Tamandua tetradactyla: one gene and its partner. The protein of the gene in region 1 purifies or fractionates together with the protein of each later gene. This does not show direct contact. Links are inferred from orthologs where the notes say so. Each region holds a gene or a part of one and is shown in the gene's direction. Other genes may lie near its edges.

What was found.
Region 2: the proteins of EXOC1 (region 1) and EXOC6B purify together in Homo sapiens (affinity purification with mass spectrometry; 3 studies listed by BioGRID and IntAct, counting the BioPlex papers as one, with this or other methods). This does not show direct contact. The link is inferred for Tamandua tetradactyla from reciprocal best matches to the Homo sapiens genes EXOC1 and EXOC6B.

Annotation. Positions count from the first base shown.
Region 1 is NC_135345.1:56,285,803-56,292,866, forward strand, and holds the start of EXOC1 (exocyst complex component 1), read left to right. Parts: upstream 1-4,053; 5' UTR 4,054-4,243; intron 4,244-7,064.
Region 2 is NC_135343.1:46,428,380-46,435,618, reverse strand, and holds the start of EXOC6B (exocyst complex component 6B), read left to right. Parts: upstream 1-4,221; 5' UTR 4,222-4,351; coding exon 4,352-4,464; intron 4,465-7,239. UniProt on the Homo sapiens protein: Component of the exocyst complex involved in the docking of exocytic vesicles with fusion sites on the plasma membrane.

The DNA of each region.
Region 1 (7,064 bases):
AATCAAACCCACCAAGTCACAAGTCCATGGGGATAGCAAAAATCTACTGAAATATGATACTGAATAGGCTTGAACCTGAGCACATCCAGAAAACTCAAGCAAATTACATGAATGGGTCATTCTGACTCCCAGGGCATTTATTCCTGTATCACTGATGTCTCCTGCTCAACCATCTCACAACTATGGCTTCCTGGAAGTTCTCTATGACTGTAAGAATTTGAGAGTTTTGCCGTGCAAAGGAGGACTCCAAGAGACGTTCTCTCATGCAACACGCAAGGGGTTTATTTACCACACATGCGTGGGGCTCACTGAACACGCAGGGACAGAGAGCCCCGAACCTGGGTTTTGGGAAGCCTTTTGAGGGCCAGGATAAGGGTGTGGGGTTTGAGGGTTGAACATTAGTTACAGGTTCTGCTTTATGCAGGAAGTAGATAACGAACATTTTGCGAGAAGCAGATAACAAACATTTTTCGCGCATGAGTCATGGGAGCTGCTTCTTGCAAGAAGCAGCTGTCTCATGCAAAACTCCCTTACTCAACCTTCTCAGTTGCATTCTTAGATAAACTTTCTCCGGCAGTTACAACCTTGCATAACCAAGGCAGCAGAAAACCTTGCATAACAAAGGCAGCAGATAACCTTGCATAACAAAGGCAGCAGATAACCGCCCCTGGGAAGTCCCGGGTTGTTTTAGCCTGATGGGGCCCATAACTCTTTTCTTTATAAAATCCTTCTTTACATAAGAAAAGTTAGCTACTGTTAAGTTTTATAAAATCCTTCTTTACATGACCATTTAATGAAAATGAAAAAATTCGAGCCTGGTCCAAAAAATGAGTTGTCCCGTTATGTTGGTGAGTAGCTAACATTGGAGTTCTAAGGCCCCACTCAGGCATAAATTTAAAGAACAATGGTGAAGGGGAGTTTCCAAGATGACAGAGTTGGGAGCAGTGTACTTCATGATTTACTCTATATAGAAGAAGAAGAGGCCTGCGGTAAACATATTTAAAAACTCCTGAGTTTGTCTTTCTTGCCTGCATCCACTGCCAGCATCCACAATCACAGGAATTATAGCAATTCTTATCAACATTACTTGCGACCAAAAAATAAGAAAGGGAAAGTGTGACAAGACATACATAACCACAAAATCCACTGATAACGCCATATCATTAATCACCCAGAAGCAGCCAGCCTCATAAAATGATGGAATGACCCATTACAGCCTTAGCTAATGTGCTTGCTTGGGATCACACCTTGTGGATTGAGGTATTGTCCCACAGGATTTGGTAAATGCACTGAATTAACCAAATTAGTGTTCCAATAGCTAGAAGGCGTGACTGCAGAAACTCAGGCTAAGTGATCCTATTATCACTCCCAGTGACCCACCAACAGAATTTGTGTTTCCTGCCCCTCAAATTTAGACTTCGCTAGGTCAGAATAAATGGTTCCCTCTGGGATTCAGGTTTCCATCTGGATACACAGTATGGATTTCACTGGACTTGAAACTCTCACTATTACTTGGTTACTTTGGTCTTTTCATGGCAGTGAACAAGGTGCAAAGAAAGGAGTTGGTTACTGTACTAGTAGGAGTACCCAGCTGTGATTAGTAAAGGAGCTAGAATTGTTGCTATATTCTATACAATAGCAGCAGGGATGAACATATCTGTAATCTAAGGAATTCATTAGAATGTATCTTAGTGTTTCTGTGCCCAGGGATACGTTGAACAGGCCAACTGCAGTAACTATGCCCCAACCAGTGCAAGGAAAATAAGGTCTAGGCTATTTTACTAGGGAAGTAACCTAGATTAGACGATGTGCTACCCAAGGGTGAGGGAAAGTTAGATGGGTAGTAGAAGACAGAGTTAATGAATGCAAATATGGTCTGGGCATCAGTGTAGAGCAAGGACTGAAGACTATCCACTAACTTTCTTGTATTAAATCCCTTGTATTTTCTTGTATTAAATTAAATTGCAGCTGCAATCTCTGCAACCTTGAAGGAGTGTCTATGAAGGACAGAATTTAAAGAAGGGCACAAGCAGATCTGAGTGGTTCAAGAAGTGAACTGAAATGGACACCTGTGAACTACTTCAAACCCCCTTATCCTCTTTTGCTAACCACTGCTGCAGCAAACTGCTCTAAGTAGGGTTTGATCAACCTTCGGCAAGTCCAACATGGCAACTGCTCTCCTCTCACTTCCCGATTCCTGTGAGGTGGGAGCCAGTTTGGCATTAACAATTGTGTAATTTGGAAGTACTGAATAGTTATTATCCTGGGGGCATTAACCTTTGATCAAAGGGGACAGGAGCCAACAGATAAATGCTTTCTCCATTCTTCTCCTCAGTGGACAGTTTTGAGATTCATTGCATAGCACTTTTCAGAAGATCTTAGGGAATAGAAAATAATAGTGGCTAACTCAATAACATATGCTTATGTTGACTTTCCCTCCTCCTTCCCTTTTTTTTTTTTTTTTTTTGCTCCCTGGGTTCATAATCCCAAGTAAACTATTGGCACATAAACCTTGTTTATGCCTTTATTTGGGGGGAATTTAGGAGGGGAGGGAATAGAAAAGAATTTCGTTTTTGGATGCATTAAGTTTCAGACACCTATTGGACACGCATGTGGAAATGCTGGGGAGACAATTAGATCTACAAACGTGGAGTTCAGGGAAAAAGCTCAAGGTATGTAAATACATTTGGAATACAATTTATTTCTCAATTTTGAGGAGGGCTGTAAACATGCAAATAAATAGGGACAGAGAGGGTCTTTATAGAGAAATAAAGCCTAGATAGAGATCATGCTTTTGAAAGGGGAGTCAATCCATGAAAATGAAGTCTTCGAAAGCAGTGTGACTGGAACATTATGATTTCCACAGCAAACAGACCACCTATTTATGATGCTTTTCCCACTGAATTTTATCTTCAGACAAACACTGAAAGATACTTTGCACAGCTTATTTGTCACTTTCTCAGTAAATCTATCCCTGACAGAGTGAGTTACTCCCTCTTGTACATTCTCAGGGTGCACAAACTTTTTCTACCTCTGTTGTCAGATTTATTTCATTAAACTGTAATTTATCCGTCTATTTAATTCTTCCTCCCCGGTGAGAGTGTGCCTCCTCTTCGGTGACTTTCCTGTCTTTGTATCTTCAACAGCTAACACTGGCACAAAATTAGCCCTGGTTGTTTGTTCAGTTAATGAATTATGAATGGATCCTTGCAGTCCCTTGGGAAAGACTGTCAAACAGGAGGAAATAAATCGCCCCTTTTAACTTCCAGCACGCTTATCTAGCCCGGAGCTCTCTTCTGTCACTTATTTTTGTATCCTATTTTATATTTATTTGTATCTACACCTTGACTAATCTAACGCACTGTGAATTTTTTTAGGATAGGCTACACATCTGAATCACCTCTGGAATCAAAGTACCCGAAAATAAAACACTTGCCAGGGCTATGGAATCAATGAATCATCTGCCTTGAGAACAGCAACACTGGCATCACCTGTGCTTCTAAAAGTTAAATGTTGGGATGCAGATTCAATATTATCTTCACCGGGCTGGAGAGGCTGTATTTTCTAAAATGCTCCCAAGTAGTGCCCATGAAACTGGCCCGTGGAGCACATTTTTGAATATCGAGATCACTAGAGCAATGTTTAGCGATTTCAATTACATACTAAAGTCATCTGGGAAGCTGTCAGATGTACTGCTGTCTGGGTCCGAACCCGAAGATTCCGATTTAACTCGTTCTCCATGCTTTGCGTAGCAAGGGTCTAGAGTTAATCGAGCTTCACAAATGCAAAACAAAAAAACCCACACACATTTAATCGGACTCTTTTGAAGGGAATTGCTGCAAATATGTGAATAAATAAATGTTCCAGAGAAAGTAAATATCGCGCAGCACCCAATCACAGATCAGCCTGCGCGCCAAAAGGCCTCGCCCCGCCCCTGCCCTTCCTGACACGCCCTTCTGGCAGCGCCAGGTCCCGCCTCTCTACGTCTTTCGGGTGGTGCCGCTCCCCGTCGCGTCATTGGCCACTCCCCTTTTCCCACCGCCTCTCCTTCCTTCTCTACGGGGCCCACTTCCGGTTCTGAGGTTTGTCACGTGTCCGGATATGGGAAGTGGTAGTAGAACCACAGTTTCCCGTTCACTGCTTAACTGAGGGGCGCTTCCCGTAGCAGTCATCGCCTCAGTCCCACCCCTTCTCCGTCTTGGAGGACCCGCCTGGGTGCAGGCGGGCTTGGGCCGGTCCTGCGGTAAGCCTTCGGCCGCGGCTGCCTAGTAGACCCTGCGGCGGTGGGCAGGCGAGCGGGCGGGCTTCAGGGTCTGAGGTGGCATCTCAGTCCGCTACTGGCTCGGCGACCCGGGTCGGAGCATAGCTCCATCAGCTGCCAGGTCCTCTTTTCCTTTCCCACCTCTCTGGGTAGGACGCTGGGTCCGGCCAAGACTCCCCTTCTTGCTCTCTGGGGCCTAGGAGAATATGTAGCAGGGGCGGCAGTCCTCGCACATCCTTTTCCGGATCTGCCTTTTAGGAACCAGACTTCATTTGTGCAAAACGGCCCTAATCGTACGTGCTTTGGCGTGGACCAGGAAAGGGAGGTGTAACAGTCTTCCACTTTTTAGTCAAAACCCACATTTTCTTCTAAAATATCTTGAGTACAATTCTCTGACTCCGTACGCTTTTGTTTGTTCTGGGTGACAGTGCGCCACGAGCTAAAATGTTTCAACAGCGTACGGGATCCAATCCACGGACACTCACTGACAAGCTGTCACACAGACAAATTCACCACAGAGAGTAAATCCACCGCAGAGTGAGCGTTGGACTACTGCCTGTGGAACGTTGTCAGACATAGACCTGGGAAATAATTTTGGAGGACTTTAAGTGATTTACTCACTGATTTACAGGAGAGTACATAAGTCTGGAGAGCTTATCATTTGATCCTTAGAATATAAATGCCATGAAGGGATATATCTTCTTGAATGTCTGTCATGTTCACTACTGTAACCTGGCCCCTAGTAAGCATCAATATTTGCTGAACAAATGAGGGGTCTTTTCATTATGCCTAACTCCTTTATGAGGTATGCCCAATCCGCTCTTGTTTTACCACCTACCATACATTTCAGTTACTGCTTTTGACCTGAGAGGGACTGTGTTGTAAATGTTGGCCACCATTAGTCCATTTATTTGACCAGTGTGTACTATTCAGTTCATGTTATCTCAAGAGGTGTTTCATGAGTACCTACCATAAACCCAAACTTTGACAGAGCATTTTGCTCACTCTCTCCCCCACACCCCCTCCCTTTTTTACAGTTAGTTCTTGAGATCCAGGAATTTATGATCTCAGAACCAATTAGTCACCAAGCGCCTGCTTGTTTAATAAATGTAGTAAATGCTATAGACATTGAGAGGGGAGATCAATTTGTACCTAAGATCTTGACTTCACATAAACTATAAAAGTAATTAGAGTTTGGTTAGGGAGGCGATAACATTCCCTGCATGGAAAAGCACCTGAGCAAAAATTTAAAGCCTGGAATGAACAGAGTGCTTGAGTAGAATATTCATCTTTGGAACATTAGGAAACTATTGAGCAAGGGTGTGGTGTGATGAAAGCTATGTTTTAAGATTATTTATTTATGAGAAACTTGGGGATTGTGGAAGCTTGCGAAGATATAACTGTATGCTGTACTATTAAATAGACATAGGTAATGTGAACCTAATTTACTGTAGTGGCAGTGGGAAAAGAAAGGAAGGAATAAATTACTGGTACAGGAGGAAAGCAACAATATGTGGTAAAAGATTTGATGTTGACAATGGAGAAGGGAATGAAATATGACTGAGGTTTTGAACCTGGACAGTTGCTTGCAGATGTGCGACTTGAACTTTGGGAGAGCTGTAGTTATGTTATTTGGTGTTTTTTTAAAAATATTTATAATATGTATATTATGTGCAGTGTGCCAGTTCTAGGAATACAAAGATGAATAAGACATGATCCTTGCCTACAAAGAGCTACTCAAGAATACAGCTAGCTAGAAAATACTGTTGGCAAGTCCAGTGTTCACAGAGTAAAAAGAAAATTTTAGAGAAGTAGAAGTGGAATTATTATTTTGTGACTACTTCACACAAGAGGTGCCATTTTACTGGTATCTTAAAAGAGATGGGGTAGAATTCCAAAGGAGAAAAGAATTCCAGGAAAAGGAAATTACATGAGCAAAAAGCTCAGAGATAGAAACCTAAACTGGCTAGTGTTCAATGTGGCTTGGATATAGGACGGACTAGAGCTTTTAACACTTTATCTAAGCCCTACAGCATGTTAAGTATTTAGTAATAGATGGAAAAGAGGTTAGGATGGGTGAATATGTAGAGAAATGCAGAAGAAAGCAATTGGGGAGAATTGTACGTCATGTTCTCTATATTTTCTGCAGAGTAGGTGATGAAGTCATTTGCAGAGAATGAGGAACCTGACACTAGAGTTGGGAGCTGAAGGAAGAGTAATAAAGATTTGCGACAACAGAGATGGTGAATGGGAAAAGCAAGCAACAAATAACATATTAAATGTTAGAGAATTGTTGAGCAACATTGAAAGTCTGACTGGCTGGATTTAGATATTTGTAGTGTATTCAGAGAACTTAGGTATGTGCTTTTTTTTAAGTGACTATAGAGACAGTTTAAGGAGATTGGTAAAACATAAAGGATCAGTTGGTCAACCAACAGGGTAAGATTATTGAATAATTTAGTGTGAATATAGGAAAAGGAGCACTGCTTCCAGGCTAGGTGGGAAAAGAAATTCAGCTGAAAGAGAACAGGTAAGCTAAGATTAGAGGAAAGAGGGAGTCATAAAAGATGAAGGAGGCAGGAGAATGATTTTTTTTGAGAAAGCAATTTTTGGAGTTGGAGCAAAGATAGAAGCTTCACAGATTGAGTAAAATATAGGAGATCTACTTTACAGAAATATCAGTTGTGTTTTAAAAACTTGTTGCAACTCATTTGACATTCATAATTTCTTCATTTTTCCATAGAAACAGTGTTATAAAGAGAATTTAATTTTCTAGGCAAACTCAACACATAAAATACTTTAT
Region 2 (7,239 bases), on another chromosome or scaffold:
GATGCCTTGTTTGCCATGTGCCCTTCCAGCTGAGAGAGAAACTGACTGTATTCGCCATGTTCTTTATCACTTGAGAGAGAAACCCTGAACTTCACTGGCCTTCTTGAACCAAGGTATCTTTCCATGGATACCTTTGACTGGACATTTCTATAGAGTTGTTGTAATTGGGACATTTTCTCAGCCTTAGAACTGTAAACTAGCAACTTACTAAATTCCCCTTTTTAAAAGCCATTCCATTTCTGGTATATTGCATTCTGGCAGCTAGCAAACTAGAACAGATTTTGGTACCAGGAGTGGGGTGCTACTGCTGTTTGCAAATACCAAACATGTTAGAACAGCTTTTTAAATGGATAAGGGGAAGATTTTGGAGGAGTTGTGAGGAGCTTGATAGAGAAGGCCTCAAATGCTTTGAAGAGACTGTTGGTAGAAATGTGGACTCTAAAGACACTTCTGATAAAGCCTTAGACAGAAATGAGGCATGTGTTATTATAGACTGGAAGGAAAGTGAGCCTTGTTTTAAAATAGCAGATAATTTGACTAGTGGCTTTGGCTAGAAGGCAGAGTTTAAAAGCCATGAACTTGGATATTTAGCAGAAGAGATCTCCAAATTAAATGTGGAAAGTGCAGCCTGGTTTCTCCTTGCAGCTTATAGTGAACTGTGACAGGAAAGAGATAAACTGAGAACTGAACTCTTGGGTACAGAGAAACCAGAAATTGCTGTTACTGGAAAATTCTGGGCTTCCAGGAGGGGAGACCCAAAAGAATGGTGCCCCATTTGAGGATCTGGCCAAATGTGAAACCAGTCAGCCATCTGAGAGAAAGCCAGGATCAGACATGCAGTTACCCAGGAAGAATTTGTGGAAACTCCTTATGTCTGATGGGTATGATCCAAGGCTACTGCATAGAAAGCCAACGAGAGTGCTGTGGGACCTGTATAAACTGACTGATGCCAGTCTAGACTGGGGGGTTCAGAGAAGGGACACATTGGAGGGAAAATAACTTCAGAGGCAAAACCATGGTGACCAGGGTCTGAAGTCAAGAGGCCTCGGGCCAAGAAAGTGGACCCACGCAATCTCGTGGATTGAATTTGCCCTGAAGGCAGAGGATGGGCCTTCTACCTCTTTGCAGTGGAAGAGTCATGCCGCCTCAGGCCTTGGAGAGGGTGAAGCACATTTCTTGGGGTTTGGGGAGAGCCTGGCTGCCATCACATGGAGGGGTTGAGTGTGTGCCCCAGAGATGGCAGAGAGCCTGTGCAGCCCCAGTGCTTGGAGAGGGTGGAGCTGAGAAAAAGGTGGTCTTCCCAGTGTCCCCCAAGATTGCATTCAGAGAGAGGCAGGCCTCTGCATAGGCATTTGGAAAGGGTAGGAGTTCTACTTTCTAAAGACCTGAAGATAAATGATTCTAAGTCTTTGAAATCTATAGTGGACTTTGACCTGTGAGTTTTCAAAACTGTATGGGTCCAGTGACCTCTGGGTTCCTTCTTCCCTGTGGAAATGGGTATATGTATCCCATCACTGTTCCTCCTTTGTATGTTGGCAGCAAACAACTTGTTAAGAGTTTTCAGAGGTCCAGAGACAGAGGAGCAGTTTGCCTTAGAACAGACCATGCCTGTAGCTAACTTTGTTAGGAGTTTGTACTGTTTCTAACTTTGTATTTCATTTGTATTGCTACTGAAATGGTTTAAGGATTTCTGATATTGTTATGGAATGAATGTATTTTGTATCTGGGGAAAACATGTCTTTTTTAGGGCCCAGAGGGTGGAATGTGCTGGTTTGAAATGATGTATGTACCCTTGAAAAGCCATGTTTTAATCCTAATCCCATTTTGTAAAGGCAGCCATTTCTTCTAATCCCTATTCAGTATTGTGTGTTTGAAACTGTAATCAGATCATCTCCCTGGAAATGTGATTTAATCAAGGGTGGTTAAATCTGGATTAGGTGGAGGTGTGTCTCCACCCATTTGGGTGGGTCGTGATTAGTTTACTAGATTTCTACAAAAGAGGAAATATTTTGGAGAATGAGAGAGATTTGGAGAGAGCAGAGAATGCTGCAGCACCACGAAGCAGACAGTCCACAAGCCAGTGACCTTTTGAGATGAAGGAAAATGCCTCCCAGGGAGCTTAATGAAACTGGAAGCTGGGAGAGAAAGCTAGCAGATGATGCCTTATTCACCATGCGCCTTTCCAGTTGAGAAAGAAGCCCTGACTATGTTCGCCATGTGCCTTCTCACTTGAGACAGAAACCCTGAAGTTCATCGGCCTTCTTGAACCACGGTATCTTTACATGGATGCCTTTGATTGGACATTTATATAGACTTGCTTTAATTGGGACATTATCTTGGCCTTAGAACTGTAAACTAACAACTTATTAAATTCCCCCTTTAAAAGCCATTCCATTTCGGGTATATTGCATTCCGGCAGCTAGCAAACTGGAACATCATCACAATAGATTTTTTAACATTTTCATTACTCCATAAACAATAACAGTAAGAATAAAAATAATAGTAAATGCAAAAAGAACACCCCAAACATCTCATACCCCCTATCGCCCCTATTATTTATTTATTGTCTTTATTTTCTTGCTTATTTTGTGACTTGTCAGTCACAAGGTTTTCACAATCACAAGGTCATAATGTAAAAGCTATATAGTTTATACAATCATCTTCAAGAATCAAGGCTACTGGATTACAGCTCAGCAGTTTCAGGCATTTCCCTCTAGCTACTCCAATACACCAAAACTAAAAAGGGATATCAATATAATGCATAAGAATAACCTCCGGAATGACCTCTCAACTGTATTTGGAATCTCTCAGCCACTGAAACTTAATTTTGTTTCATTTATCTTCCCCCTTTTGATTAACAAGTCTTTCTTAATCCCATGATGCCAGGACCAGGCTCATCCCCAGGAGTCAGGTTCATATTGCCAAGGAGATTTACACCCCTGGGAGTCATGTCCCATGTAGTGGGGAGGGCAGTGAGTTTACCTGTAGAGTTGGCTTAGAAAGACCACATCTGAGCAACAAAAGAGGTTCTCTGGGTGTGATCCTTAGGCATAATTATAAGTAGTTTTAGATTCTCTGTTGTAGAAATAAATTTCATATGGGCAAGCCCAAGGATTTAGGGCTTAGCCTATTAAATTGGTAGACCCCAATGCTTCCAAGAATGTAAGGTCTTCCCCAGGTGGAAATATTTCCTCCTTTTCCCCCAGTCCCTCAAAGGGACTTAGCAAATACCTTTTTATTTTCTACCCAGAATCAGGGCATCACATTAACCTGTACAAACCAACAAGATCTCACTCCCTAGTCAAGGTTCTGTGTAATTATGGTGTTTGAATAAGCTGACTATAAAAGTTAAATTAGTGTGCTACAGAAAATATAAATTTTGTACCAAAATCTCTTTCTTTGGTCTGACCTAGAAGTTGAAGTTTTAAAATACAGTCAATAGCATCCTTTACCCTTTTGTCTGATTTAGTGCTGATGAGATCGGCTTCATATCTATTATCGAAGTCTGATCTGTTTTTGGGCTTTTTAAACAGTTGCTATATGGGGTAATGCTGACTTTCATAGCTGCAGCACTCTAGCTCTGAGTCTCAGGCGTCACACAGATACCCAAAGTTCCAGGGAACCATCAGGTTATACATAAAGAGTGTTACACCCCAGAATTTAAAAATAAAAGTTACAACTCAGGAATAGACGTGACTGACGTAAGAGCTTACAATCTAGGAACCTTTACAATAGACTCTGATAACCTATGCTCTCAAATTCAATTTTCAGAGTTTCACATTGTCGTTAGTCCATATTAGTGAGGCATTATAATATGTCTTTTCATTTCTGGGTTATTTCACTCAACAAACTCTCCTCAAGGTCCATTCACCTAGTTGCATGCGTCACAACTTCACTCCTTCTTGCAGCTGCTCAATATTCCATTGAATGTATATACCACAGTTTCCCCTTGCGTTCATCAGTCATGTACAGACCTCTGCACTTTGTGGCAAGGGTGTCAAGCAAGAAATTGTTGGATTAATGCCATTGCCTGACTTGTTCACCGCTGTATATGTAGTGTCCTCAACTGTTTCTGGCTTGCAGAGAGCTTTCAATACCTATTTGTGGAATCCATGAGTAAACGGATGGCGCCTAGGCGAGGATCTCCAGTAGAACTACACTTCCCAGCGCGAATCGCGCGGAAGGCCGCCAGACGTGATGACGCAAAGGGCGTGCCGAGACTGAGGGAGGGGTCGTTCTGCGGGTGTCCGGAGGCTGGGGCGGCAGTGGAGCTCCGGCTGGGAGGCGGTGTGAGGGAGCGAAAGGTGGGCCGGGCTAAAGGGGGGGACGCGCAACCGAGCGCCCCCAGTTCATGAATTGGGGTAAGATGGCGGAGGCGGAGAGCCTGGAGACAGCGGCAGAGCACGAGCGGATCCTGCGAGAGATCGAGAGTACCGACACGGCCTGCATCGGGCCCACGCTCAGGTATTCCGGGTTCTTCAGGGGCCACCGACGGGCGGCACGGGCAGGCAAGCCTCATTCGCGTCCATCTGTCAGGCCAGTCGTCCGCGTGGCCGACGTGACCCGCCTCTTTCGGGAAGACTTGCAAGCGACCTCCGCCTTCGGTGAGGCGGGTCTCCCGCCGCAACCTCGACGTGGGGTTCTTCCCGACTGCCCCACAGCCGGGTTCCTGAGGAGGCTCCTCCTGCCTCCCTCGGGGCTGGACAGGCTTTCCTTCCCAACTTAGAGGCGAGCCCAGCGCCGGGCAACCAGAGAGCGCCGGACAGATGGTGGCTCTCAGTACATCTTCCCCCCCTGGGGATATCACCCTTTCCCTCCGACTCGCACTCTGTCCCGCCCTAGGCGTGAGTCCTTCTCGTCAGACAAAACAGAATCTCACCCCATGGCCTCTTGCTCGGAAATTAAACTCTTGCGTCCTTAAAATCACAACCACTTCTGAGTAGTGAGACATTGAAAATCTTAGGCCCTGGAAGGAAGGCCCCTTCAACAAGCAACCCTCAGCTGGGAGCGAGTGCTCACCGATCCCAATCAGGACGACGGACCCTCCCTAAGGCCCGGGATCATGGCATTCTCATTGATGAAAAAAATCTATCCCTCTCCCGCGCACCCACTCCCGCCCACTACCATTACTTCACTCGCCCTTCTCTGTTTCATATAGTGAGATCAAAGCAAACCCTGGCCTATCGCAGTTTATTAAGGAGCATTTATCGTATGCATTGTAGTCATTTAATACAGTACAAAAGATTGTATTAAGTGATTTACAAATATTCATTTCAACCGCAAAACAGTCCTACTAGGTGTGTACTGTTACTGCTCTTATTTTACAGATGAGGCACAAAGAGATTAAGTGACTTGCTGAAAAGTCACACAGGAAATAAGGTGGAGAAGTCCAGATTCCTATGCAGGCTGGATCCAGATTTCTAGGCTCTAAACTATGGTTCTGCCTCAGTTGGGGTCTGTGATTTATCTGACCTTCCTGTTGATAATAACTTTCCAATTTAGAACTACTTTCCCCCTTCTCGGTTTACTAATGCCCTAGAGCTAACTCATCTTCAGTCCTTCCTGTGGTGCCTCCTGAGCTCCCTGCTGCCAATAAGTAGATAATTATCTTACCCACCTTGTGCAGTCTTAGGTCACAGCTACTCAAAAAGAGTTACTCATTGCCTGCTCTTTCTTGGAGAGAGTTGTCTCATGAAAGAGGGACCGCTGGAGATTTTGCTCCTCAGCTTTACCTTCATCTGAAGCTTTCTTCTTCAGTGTGCTTTAACAGAGTTCTTCCATTGCTATCTCTGGACATGACCATCCTCAGTAATCTGTCTTTTGTCTCTGTAAAGTGACTTGTGGCTCCCTTTTCGAATCAGTTCTTTAATCTGGTGCAGTCCTGCATCGTCTTCCCTTACCTCTGTCCCCTTAGCCCATACATTATGCTATAGACCATCGTGCTCCTTTCTTTTTTCCTTTTCTTAAGTTCTTAAGAGTGAATGATTTTCATTTCATAGGTTTTTACAAAAACTAAGGGTTACTTAATGGAATACTACCAAGTGCATATTTAATAGTTATTGTTTGATTTTCATAAAATAAAATGTTTCTATTAAGAAATTTGGCTGCTGAGCTGCAGTTAGCAACCCAGCCAAGTTCCTAGTGGATGTGTGCAGTTAAGATTACCAAAATTTTTAGGAAGTTTTCTTTACCAGAGCACTATCAGTGTTGTCTTAAATTGGTTTTGGTTTTCAGTTGCTTTTGTTCATGTTTTATATGGTAAATGACAAGTTTTGTTAACAGTTTTGTTTGTTGTGGCTTATTAGTTTAACCCTCCACTGAGTACAGATTCATATTTGTCTATCAACTGAATTTTAGCCTTTATTTTTTCTGGTATCTTGACTAAGAAAAATATGCATTATGGTTCAAATATAAATTAACCATTCACTCCAAACCTTGCTTTATTGTTATTTCCAAGTTCTTTTTTTGCATTGGAAAGTAGGCTTTTTTTTGGGGGTAGATGAACTGAGGTATCTTTTGTCCTAAGAGAGCCAAAAAAAAAAAAAAAAAAAAAGAAAAAGTTTGGTAATCACTGCACTAACCCATAGTTTTAGTTGCTTTTCCTGATTCCCTGTATTATTGTTAGGGGCTTTTGATTTTTGGTCCTGTCTTTTCTCTGGCAGATAATCTTAAATCTTATGGTCAGACCCAAGATTCAGTCACTTGAACATCCTATAATACAAGTAGTACCCATTGTCTTTGTTAGTGTAGCTTGTCCTTGCCCATATTCACAGTTGATGATCTCACCTTTTTTCCTTATTCCATTCAGAACCAGTAGCATGTACAGGCTTGATGTTTCATATCCTGTGCTCTTTCCTTGGATGCACCTCCATGATCATTTTCTCCTGTTTTCCCATCACAGTCATTATAGGCAGTAAGCTGTCTTCCCCAACGATCCTGTGAACCTCAAACTCCTCTGCCCCTCTTCATAGTATCTTTCCTACTTTTCAATCTTTTGAGGTAGGATTTTAAAGGCACTGGAGTCTTAGCTGTTCCTGAGAGAGGGTTTTTTTTTAATTTAAACTTTTTTTTATTGTATAGTATAACATATATACAAAGCAAAGAAATAAAAAAGCAATGGTTTTCAAAGCACTCTTCAGCAAATGGTTACAGGACAGATCCCAGAGTTTGTCATGGGCTACCATATATGATCAAGAGAGGTTTTTTTGACTGAGCAGAAGCTAAAGGACAGAGTATAAC